3 linked regions of the Cricetulus griseus genome follow. The protein of the gene in region 1 purifies or fractionates together with the protein of each later gene. This does not show direct contact. Links are inferred from orthologs where the notes say so. Each region holds a gene or a part of one and is shown in the gene's direction. Other genes may lie near its edges.

The links. The genes of interacting proteins can lie anywhere in the genome.
Region 2: the proteins of Med9 (region 1) and Med8 purify together in Homo sapiens (affinity purification with mass spectrometry; 5 studies listed by BioGRID and IntAct, with this or other methods). This does not show direct contact. The link is inferred for Cricetulus griseus from reciprocal best matches to the Homo sapiens genes MED9 and MED8.
Region 3: the proteins of Med9 (region 1) and Med18 purify together in Homo sapiens (affinity purification with mass spectrometry; 6 studies listed by BioGRID and IntAct, counting the BioPlex papers as one, with this or other methods). This does not show direct contact. The link is inferred for Cricetulus griseus from reciprocal best matches to the Homo sapiens genes MED9 and MED18.

What each region holds. Positions count from the first base shown.
Region 1 is NC_048600.1:74,064,566-74,068,313, forward strand, and holds the start of Med9 (mediator of RNA polymerase II transcription subunit 9), read left to right. Parts: upstream 1-1,530; 5' UTR 1,531-1,566; coding exon 1,567-1,778; intron 1,779-3,748.
Region 2 is NC_048595.1:33,902,810-33,906,557, reverse strand, and holds the start of Med8 (mediator of RNA polymerase II transcription subunit 8), read left to right. Parts: upstream 1-939; 5' UTR 940-954; coding exon 955-987; intron 988-1,618; coding exon 1,619-1,737; intron 1,738-2,589; coding exon 2,590-2,734; intron 2,735-3,307; coding exon 3,308-3,448; intron 3,449-3,628; coding exon 3,629-3,710; intron 3,711-3,748. UniProt on the Homo sapiens protein: Component of the Mediator complex, a coactivator involved in the regulated transcription of nearly all RNA polymerase II-dependent genes.
Region 3 is NC_048595.1:20,800,224-20,803,971, forward strand, and holds the start of Med18 (mediator of RNA polymerase II transcription subunit 18), read left to right. Parts: upstream 1-1,270; 5' UTR 1,271-1,424; intron 1,425-2,105; exon of another isoform or gene 2,106-2,160; 5' UTR 2,161-2,189; coding exon 2,190-2,262; intron 2,263-3,748. UniProt on the Homo sapiens protein: Component of the Mediator complex, a coactivator involved in the regulated transcription of nearly all RNA polymerase II-dependent genes.

The sequences.
Region 1 (3,748 bases):
GTAGTGATAACTGCTACTTTTACCATAATTCCTCCCAGATATCTCCAAAGGTGTCTAATCTCTTCTGGCACACTTGGTCCAATTTCAATAGGCCATTCCATCCTCCATTCTCCCCCAAGACTCATGAATCCACCCCTTAGGTGGAGAGGTACTGGGCTAGAAGAAAACCCTACAGTTTCCTGCAGTGAGAAACATTTTTCTATCAAAGACACTTAGTCCCACAAGGACTTATAGTATGTCCTGAACCCTGCTTCCCCTTTGGGTGACTAGCTCATCATGTTATATTGTGAAGTTGTGTTCCCACCAATGGGATGGAATGCAGTCACCATCTAAGTAAGAGGTAAAGGCAGTGGGCATTTTAATGAGTATTTTTGCTCTCTTGGTTTGGGTTCTGGTACACTCACTTTTCAAAAGGAAATCACTTTGTCAAATTTCACTTTGTCTGTGTTCCTTTATGCAACACTGCAATCATTCTTTTCCCAACACTTTCTCCACTTCTTCTGTTTGGGACACTCTCTGCAGCTCAGAAGAAAACAATCCTGAGACCCATAACTAAAAACCTCAAAACACCTCCAATATTCCATTTCTGAAGATCTGGCTCCAAATGCCCTTCCCAAGGCAGCTGAAGTCAGCAACATCCCTGCTCCACTTGGGATTTGCCACTGTGAACTTCACATTCCTGTTCCTTTTTTCATGACTTATTTTTTACTTTATGTTCACTGGTGTTTGCCTGAATGTATGCCTGAGGGTATCAGAGCCCCTGGAACTGGAGTTACAGACATGTGTGAGCTGCCTTGTGAGTGATGGGAACCAAACCAGAGTCTTCTGGAAGAGCACTGAGCACTCTTAAGCACTGAGACGTCTCTCCAGCCCCTTCCTGTTCCTTTTTGAGCTCTTTGCCTCTCTTTACTGGCATGGGGGTTGAATAAGGACAGATGGCCTCTCCCAGTTGACAGCTTTCCTAATTTCTTGTCTAGAAATTTATAATACAGCTTCCATGTCATATTTTCCTTGGGAAAACATAATATCTATCAGAAGTCCCCCGCTTTTGCTTATACACATAAGTATATGGCACCTGCTAGATGCAGACTAAATGCTTGAAGAACGGTTAATTTTTCCCTCGGCAGCCATGTGGAACCTCGGCAGACAATGTGTTTGTATGGTGTGTTTTGCTGTCGCCAGTCAGGGGCCCTCCTGGAGGCTGGCAAGACACAAAGAAGCGTAGGTCCTTGTCATCAGGATGCTCGCTGCCTCAGAGCCCCATTTTCACACGGCGCTCACCGGCGTCATCCGTTCTTCCTGCCAGTCCCAGGGCGGGGACTGGCGGGGGGGGGGTCCTTGTTGGTGTTTTGACCCTTCTCTGTCATGCGAACTAGAAAAAGATGACTGAAATAGGTCCCCTACTCCTGACTGCTTAATTTAGCCGTCTGGATACCAGTCGCCTAGCAACACTTGCCCGCCTACGCCCAGCGCGCAGGCTCAGACCCTTTCCCCACCCGGCCTCCCGGGCGCACATCTGTGACGTAAGCATCCAGCGACTCTCGGCAGTACCGCACGCCTGGTACCATGGCTTCCTCCGGGGTGACCGGTGGGAGACAGGCCGAAGATACACTGCAGCCACCGCCCGAGCTGCTGCCGGAGTCCAAGCCGCTGCCGCCGCCTCAGCCTCTACCGGTCGCCGCGCTCCCGCCGCCGCCGGCTCCGCGCCCTCAGTCCCCCGCAGGCGGGAAGGAGGAGAATTACTCCTTTTTGCCGTTGGTTCACAATGTCATCAAATGGTAAGGGCCTAGGAGAGGTCAAGACACCAACTTTCCCGGCCTCTGGTGTTGCTGGTTCGGTCCGAGCAGCGGAAGCCAGCGCGCTCTGAGCCACGCCCCATTTTCCCAGAGGAGCCGCACAGTCGCCTTTTGAGTTCAGCCACCTCCCAGGCCTTGAGAGTTACACTGTGCATCCAGGTGAAGCTCACATACTGAGCAAATTCACAGGTTCTACGGTGCACTCCTCTTGTTCGCATCCCAGACCCCTCAGCGTCTTTGGGATGGGTCTCAAGTCCTTACACATATAGTCTGATGGCAACTTTTGTTTTGTTTTGTTTTTCGAGACAAGGTTTCTCTGTAGCTTTGCAGGCTGTCCTGGAACTCACTCAGACCAGGCTGGCCTTGAACTCACAGAGATCCACTTGCCTCTGCCTCCCGAGTGCTGGGATTAAAGGCATGAGCCACCACCACCTGGCTAAAGGCAATTGTTTTATTTTTCTTCCAGACAGTGTTTCTTCCCTGTGTAACAGCCCTAGCTGTCCTGGAACTTGCTTTGTAGAAGCAAGCCTAGAATTCAGAGATCGCCTACTTCTGCCTCCCGAGTGCTGGAATTAAAGGTGTATGCCACCCCTCCCGGCTACCTAAAGGCAATTTTATACAATTGACTGTTCATATGAAGCCTAGTGTGGGATTTTCCATTTGTAGCATTATGTGGTCCCCTTAAGAGTTTTCGAATATTTGTGGATTTTAGATGTGAGATTCTCACCTTGAACACAGTTCCCGTTTCAATACTAGGCAGTATCTTTACTTGTGTGGCACTGTTAAGTACTGTGGATGAACACTGGAAAGGAACCATCAGTTTACCATCACAGTAAGAAGCAGAGCAGAGAAAAACAAACATAATAGTCTATGATTTTTACAACTGGAGAGGGGTGGAGTGATGCTAGAAAACATTTGAAACAAAGACACGGAAGTTGCTCCAAATGATTATGTCCCACCCAGTATTAACTTTCAACAGAATATCCAAGGATGTGGGTGTTACCTTTCTGACCCAGAGTCTCCAGTCTCCAATCTGGCTTACATTTTTTTGTTGTTGTTGTTATTTCCATATACAGTTGTGTCACTTCCAAGAGGTGACTTGTCCTGCAAACATTCTCATCTCAAGTGTGCTTTGATAAACTTAGGTGGTGCAGGACAGTTACTCCATGGGGCCTCTTGGTGCTGTCAGGATTCTTGGTAACAGCAAGAGAGTGTTGGATGGCTTGGTGGGTGAGACTACTTGCTTGCTGTGAAAGCAAGACAATCTGAGCCTGAATCCCCAGCATCCACATAAAAAGCCACTCATGGCTGCTCATACTTGTAGCCCAGCATTTCAGGGTAGAGACAAACAGATCTTGAGAGCTCTGGCCAGCCAGCCTGGCTGAAACCGAACTTCCATTCATCATGTGACCTTGTCTCAAAGCAATAAGGTGAAGAGCAACAGAAAAAGACAACCTACCTTAGCACGACTGCCTGCACACTCAGCAGGCATTCACAGACACAAATAGCAACCCCAACGCACATATAAGGCATACCACACATACATAATAAACAAAAAAGAGTCTTGGCAGCATGGGACGTATGAAAGTTGCTGCTGGTATATTAAGACATTCTGTTAAAAGGGGGGTTTTAATTATATATTTGTTTGTTTGAGAACAGGGTTTTTGCTACAAAGCCCACACTGCCTTTGACCTTTTGATCCTCTTATCGCAGCTTCCTGAGTACTGGGGCTACAGGCGTGTACCATTACACCTAGCAACTGTGAATCTCTTAGTAGGAAGGAGTGTGCTTTAAAATCATAGTAAAAAGTTCATTATAGTAAATGCATAAACTAGTGACATCACTATTTATATCCTTATCAAGCATTAGGCACTACCTGTAATTGTATATGCTATACTTTCATATATCTGGCAAAATTATTGTGGGTTTTTTTTCACAATAGTGTAAGTGAT
Region 2 (3,748 bases), on another chromosome or scaffold:
CGGAAGTCGTAGGGATGGCCGCGTTCTGAGTTTTTTGATTGGTGGGCACAGACGGCGGCGCGAGAAACCGGAAGAGGAAGTGGTTGCGCCAACCGGGCCGTGGCAATGCAGGTGAGAAGCCGGTTGGGCCTCCCAGCCGCTAGCCACCGGCTGGAGGGTGGGCGGGCCGAGGACTCTGGGAAGTTGGAGCTGTGAGGATAGGGCAGAGGCCTCGGCTGTTTGGGGAAAGGCGGCGAAGCCGGAAGGGACGAGGACAGCTGCGGGGGGCGCGGGGATTTAGCGCGCTAACGCCAGAGGGTCAGAGGCGTGGGTTAGGGGGAAAGGCACGGCCGACTTGCTTGACTGTGTGAAAGGATCGAATTGGCATTTGGGAAGGCTAGAGAAAGAAGTGGGCTGGGACAGCCCTCGACCTCGACTGTTGGGCACAGGCGCAACAAGGCTTCAGAAGGCTGAAGGGATTGTGGGCCGCCAAGGACGAAAACTAAGCAGTTTGTAATCCGAGGCTGTGGGTGGAACCTAGTATCCAACCTCATCCTTCACATTCTCGGGTTTGCAAATCAGCTTTGTGTCATTCTTCCCGCCTTGTACCCCGTTGCTTAGGGCGCAGAAGTGGAGTAAATAGACCACAGATGGTCAAACGGAAACCCTCTGCCAACACAGCATTTAAAATTGTCTAACGTCCAGAAAGAATGTGTTGGTTTCCTCGCCTTTGTCTTCCATTACTCAGTTTGTTGCACCTGGTATTCCTACAGTGACTGTTTATGGGTCACCCGAGTTTACGAAAGAGACACTGGAATACTGGCACAGAGATGCAGGAGTACACATTGACTCAGCAAAGGACCAGTTGGGGAGGGGAGCTGCAGAGCTGGTGTTCAGAGACAGCCTCAGATACGGGCAAAATGTGAGATTCTCCAGATTGTGTTGAGAGTAGCTGCACTCACAGGGCAGAGGATAATGGCTTGCATGTACTATAGAGGCACCCATGAGGTAATGAGATAATGAACCTCAGGTGTGCCTTCTGGCCTTATATGCCGACAGCACCCCTGTTACCTTGGCAAACCTTTCTAACATGTACTGAACTTTCTGAAAGAAATGTGGCAATACCAACTCCACAGAATGACACAATACAAGGATTCTCTATATGCCCAAGGAAAGCAGAGTTAGGACATCAAGCAGCTGCGTGGTAGGCAGACTGTTTTCCAGAAAAGGCTAGACTTAACAAAGAAGATTGTGCTTTGGCTTGAGCATCTGCAGATTAAGAGAATGTTGGCTTTTAAGAGAGGCAGTCTTTTGAGCTGGGAGGAGAAGAGAATCGAAGTGAAAAGATGAAGGGCTAAGTGATAAACAGTTCTAAGCCAGTTTTGTTATGAAGACAAAATGGTGAGGTCATAAGCAGAAGGGAATTAGGTCTGGTGTAATGTTCCTTTTGAAGGGCCATAGTGTAGGAGGTTGATAGAAGGAATCAATTGGTAAGAGGACTTCAGGCCAGGTGAACAGGTTGAAAGGTCTAAGGGTTGATGCTGTCTGTAACCCAAATACCAAGATAGAAACCAATTTAGCTTTTCTGTATGTGCCACGATCGCTCGTATCTGAGTAACCAAGCATACTGTTGATGCAGAGGGAGGAGAAGCAGCTTGAGGCATCCTTAGATGCACTGCTGAATCAAGTGGCCGATCTGAAGAATTCACTGGGGAGTTTCATTTACAAGTTGGAAAACGAGTATGACCGGCTGACTTGGTAAGGATTGCCAGGGCAAGCCGGGGAGGGAATCCATGGGTGGTGGGGCCAAGCCCCCGGGCTGACAGGACATCTCCAATGATGTAACTATTTATCAGTTTGCAAATATCCTTTTTGATTTGGCAAGAACTAGGTTGCCCAACATTGACAAGTATAGTTTGGCTTAAAGCCTCCATGGCAAGGAAGTAGAGAAATGCCCAGTTTCCCAACGTAGGCTGTTTCGAGGTTTTAATTCTTACGCTTTGACTTCTTTGGTGAGGAGGTGTTCCCCCAGTGGGGAACCATTAAAGCTATATTCATGCTGGATCTCCTTCCACAGATGTGGCTGAATCTGAGATCCACCCTACTCTGGAATGATGGATTCTGTTAACTAGGCTAGAAAGGAGGCTTTTATCCACTTAAAGAATTTTTAGTTACCACAGTGTAACCACAGTTTCTGTTTTCCACTACCTCCAATCCCATTCAAACAATGAGTTACGACTGGCAGTGGTGGCACACACCTTTAATTCCAGCACTCAGGAGGCAAAGGCAGGTGGATTTCTGTGATTTTGAGGCCATTCTGGTCTACAGAGTGAGTTCCAGGACATCCAGGGCTACACAGAGAAACCCTGCCCCCTCACCCCCCCAAAAGGAAAAGAGTTGCTTTTTTTCTACGTCTGTGTGTCCGTGTTGGAAATTGACAGTGTGCTCCTCTTTCCCAACTCCATCATCTCTGCTAGAAAATCTGGTTCTTGCCTAGGCTAGTCATAGGGCTGTGAGTCTTCTGGGGGTGAGTCTGGGTGTTCCAGCATTAGAACTTTAGAGATTACTTTATAGGGAAAAGTAGTTCTGATGACTTCCTACCACCCGCAGGCCCTCTGTCCTGGATAGCTTTGCATTGCTCTCTGGACAGTTGAACACTCTGAACAAGGTCTTAAAGCATGAGAAGACACCACTGTTCCGTAACCAGGTCATCATCCCTTTGGTGCTGTCCCCAGATCGAGATGAAGACCTCATGGTAAGAAGAAAGGATTGAACCAGGGAAATCAGGTCCTTAAATGAAAGTCTGGAGCACAGTTGTTGATTGGACCCTCTGTATAGCAATGAAAAGTAGGGGCTGCTATCTGGAAGACTTGCTTTTTTGTCCTTCTGGAGTCAGGAGTCACTCTTAAATAATGTTGTGAAAGCCAAGGCCATGTCAACTAAGTCCATGACCTTTCTTTTCCAAAAAAAAGTCTGTTCTGCTTGCCTGTAACTTTGTCCAATCAGTCTTTAAAATGTGGGGTTAGGAATTTAGCTCAGTGGTAGAAAAAAGTCCTGGTTTGGTCCCCAGAATGGGGGTGGGGAATCACGAAAGACCAAAACAAAATAGAAACAACAACAAAAAGAAAATTACAGTGCGGTTGTGGAGGGTGGAATTTATTTTGTCCTAGTTCTGATAGAGTGTATGTGAAAAGACAAAGCCACAGAAAGCTACATTTGTGTCTCAGGTTGTGTTGTCTCTAAAAATGCAGTTTCCCACGGAAGAGAAACTGGGTTAGAATCGGCTTACTTGGATAGCACAATAGGATCAATACAATCTGTGTTACAGCGTCAGACTGAAGGACGAGTGCCTGTTTTCAGCCATGAGGTCGTCCCTGACCATTTGAGAACCAAGCCTGACCCTGAAGTTGAAGAGCAGGAGAAGCAGCTGACAACAGATGCTGCCAGAATTGGTGCTGATGCAGCTCAGGTTGGACTGAGTCACTGCCCTGCTGCCCCATCCCCATCCCTTCATAAGAAGCAAGACTTTACCAAGCCTGGGTAGTAGGAGTCTGTGGTTGGTTACAGCTAGGCTGCCTTTGGAAGAGCACAAGGAAGATGCTTTCCCAGAGTCATTTCTAATCACTACATCAATTCCTGTGTGTTGCAGAAGCAGATCCAGAGCTTGAATAAAATGTGCTCAAACCTTTTGGAGAAAATTAGCAAAGAGGAACGAGAATCAGAGAGTGGAGGTAAGGAGGCTGGTTGGCAGAACAGAGTGAGAACTGTA
Region 3 (3,748 bases), on another chromosome or scaffold:
TACAAGTGTTATTAGAGGGCTGGAGAGATGGCTCAGAGGTTAAGAGCACTGCCTGCTCTTCCAGAGGTCCTGAGTTCAATTCCCAGCAACTACATGGTGGCTCACAACCATCTGTAATGAGATCTGGTGCCCTCTTCTGGTGTGCAGATATACATGGAAGCAGAATATTCTATACATAATTAATAAATAAAATCTTTAAAAATGATTAAAAAAAAAAAAGCCGGGCAGTGGTGGCACACGCCTTTAATCCCAGCACTCGGGAGGCAGAGGCAGAGGCAGGTGGATCTCTGTGAGTTCGAGACCAGCCTGGTCTACAAGAGCTAGTTCCAGGACAGCCTCCAAAGCCACAGAGAAACCCTGTCTCGAAACCTTTCCCCCCAAAAAAAAAAAAAAAAAAAAAAAAAAAAAAAAGCAGCAAGTGCTCTTAACTGCTGAGCCTCTCCCCTATTTATTTATTTTTGAAAAGTCTCACAATGTTGTTTAAGTCTTGAACAGTTCTGCTGGAGAGATTCTTACCACAGCCTTCCGAGTTCTGATTCAGACTGTGCCTGGTCCCCTGCATTCATTCATTCATTCATTCATTCATTCATTCCTTTATTTGGTTTTTCAAGACAGGTTTTTTCTGTGTAGCTTTGGAGGCTGTCCCGGAACTCACTCTGTAGACAAGGCTGGCCTCGAACTCACAGAGATCCGCCTGCTTCTGCCTCGGGAGCGCTGGGATTAAAGGCGTGCGTCACCAACGCCCCGCATGGTTCCCTGTACGTAAAGTTGAGGTTTGTACAGGAAATTATACAAGTTTGCTGTTGTATTAAGTTTGCACAGGCCAGGGAAAGGGTCTAGCACTGAGCTATTTCTCCAGACCTTTGAAAACACACAAAACATTCAGTGTTAGCACTGAGGCCCATACAGGCACAACGCTGTGCTTAGCTGGGGAGCGCATCAGACCTCTGTCACCTTGAGCTATCTGATGCTATCAATGCGGCTCTTTCCCCAGTGGCTCAGTTCACAATTTAAACATAGTATCCAATCAGTTTGGAGAGATCTGATCAAGACACCCAGGTCGTCGGAGCTGTGGGGGAGAGCGCCACTTATCCTAGAGCTGCCCTATGACGTAAGGCCCTGCAGTTATCCCCAGCGCACCGCTCCAGACCAGGACCCCCTCGCAAGGCAGCGCCGCACTTCGCACATGCGCTCTTGCCCCCGGTGCCAGGAGGCAGGCTCATTCCTGGCCCTCTCGGCACCCTTACTTCTCGGCGCTTCAGGGCCTAGGTTTCCTGTCCGTCAGCTTCCTGCCGGAAGTGCGGAAGGCGGATGCCTGCATCTTCTCTGGCGGGATTTTGGTATCTGTGGGTGCGAGTGTGCAAGCGTGGACTTAATTCCAGCTTCGCGGGGAGCTGCGGCGTGCACGGAGGCGTGTTGCTAGTGTAAGTGCACACGTGCCCGGGATCCCGGCGTGGGAGGACCGGTGCCGTCACTTTAGTCACGCTTCCCGCCTGGCTCGTTTGAAAAGGGGAAAAAGGCCGAGCCCTGTTCCAGGCGGACCCCCGTGTACCCTGGCGCCTCTCCCTGAGTCTCCTTGGCGTCCGCCTAGGGTGAAGGTCCTTAGGTCGCCTTCGGATCTTCTGTTTTGGGTTTTTAGAGGTCTCACTGCGATTCCCCGGTTGGCCGGAACTTGCTAGGTAGACCAGTCTGGCCTCGAACCTGCAGCCGTCTTCCTAACTCTGTTGTCGAGCGTTAGGATTACAGATGTGCCCCAGCACGGCCAGCTTTTATTTATGTTTGCAAACGGGGCCTCTGTGTAGCCTAAAGGTGACTCTACTTTTTCTGAATTTAGTTGTATGTCGGTTGTTTCGTTTGAGCCACGTAGCTGGGGGAGGGAGGCTGGGCGGTTAAATGCCCCTAGTCTTATTTAAAAGAGTAAGTTCCAGAAAAAGAGGTTGCACAGCTGCCTCAAGATTACCTAGGAAACTTAGAGGGTTCAGAATTTGAGATTAGAAGGTTACGCCGTATCTCCGTGGCCAGAACCCTTGTTTCTGTGTCGCCTGTTCATGGAGCGGGCTGTATAAATAAATGCGAAGTTCTGAATGCCTGAGTCTTGATTTCAGTGCCGGAGCCACGCTACTAACCGCTCCAGTGTACAAACAAGTGTGACTCTTCCAGGTGTATCCCGTGTTTACCTGACCGTCACCATGGAGGCCCCTCCAGTCACCATGATGCCAGTCACTGGGGGCACCATTAACATGATGGAGTACCTCCTGCAGGGTAAGTGAGCCAGGGAGCTTGCATTAATTGCCAAGTTTTTCCTTCCTTCCTTCCTTCCTTCCTTCCTTCCTTCCTTCCTTCCTTCCTTCCTTCCTTTTCTTTTTTGGTCAGAGTAAGTAGAGATAAAGCTAACAAAGTCAACCACACAGTTTCTGTCTCCCTGTAAGTATGTTTAAAGGAGGTAGGGTGGGAAGGTTGACTCAGTGGCCAGAAATTCACCACACAGACCAGTCTGGCCTCAGGTACCTGGGTTTAACGAGATGCACCATAAACAATTGCCTTTTCTTTTTTCTTTTTCTTTTTGGCTTTTCAAGACAGGGTTTCTCTGTAGCCCTGGCTGTCTTGGAACTCACTCTGTAGACCACGATGGCCTCAAACTCCCAAGTGCTGGGATTAAAGGTGTGCACCATCACCCCCCTGCTTCATTTTCTTTCATCTTTACTTTTTCTGCCTCTCGACTGACACTGATCACCTCCACACCTTGTTTTCTTCATCCACTGCTTAGATGCCCCAAAGAAGTGAAATGACTGGTTTGTGACAGGTTTCTTTTACTTGGCATTATATCCTTGACAGAATTATGTCTTATATTTACATGGTTTTTGTATTTTTGGAAACAGGGTCTTAGATAGCCCTGGACTCCTTATTAGCTAGAATTGCAGACCTAGGCTACCAGGCCGTGCTAAGTTCCTGTTTCCGAATCTCTATTCTGCACTGAGTATCTCAAGCATTGTATCTACTTACTTGACTCTTAGGGGGTAGTTTGTTTGCTTGTTCGTTTGGTTTTGGTTTTGAAGACAGGGTCTCACTTTATATATATCCCTGGTTGGCCTGCAATGTAAACCAGGCTGGCCTTGAACTCATAGACATCTACCTGCCTCTGCCTCCCAAGTGCTGGGATTAAAGGCGTGTGCCACCACCACCCGGCTTTTGCTTGAGTCTTGTAATGACCCCTAAATTTTATTTTATTTTTTTTAGCTCTGTCCTAAAGCCCAGAAGACAGAGATAAAGGCTCAATGATAAAACAAGACCCAAAGAGAATGCTGACTTTTTTAGGAGATCATACAATATATTTAGTAGGCAGAGTTAAGCTTTATTTATTTTTGAAATGTGTGTGTATGTGTATATACGCACGTGTATACAGGCGCTCTTGCATATTTTGTGGGAGTCATTTCTCTGCCACTGTGTGGGTGGGGGATTGAACTCAAGTCCTCAGGCTTGATATTTGTACTGGATTTAATTAGATTTTTCTATTACATTTTATTTGTTTGGGAGCGGCCTTGTGCTTGCCACAACACACCTGTAGAGGTCAGGGGACATGTGGGAGTTAGTTCTTTCCCTTCATTAGGTGGGTATCAAGGATTGAACTCAGGTCATCAGGCTTGGCAGCAAGCACCTCTACCCACTGAGCCGTCACATTGGTCCCTCTAAAATGTTACCGAGTAAACATTTAATTTTTGTCCTTGGGCAGTTGTCCTTTATCTTTGTA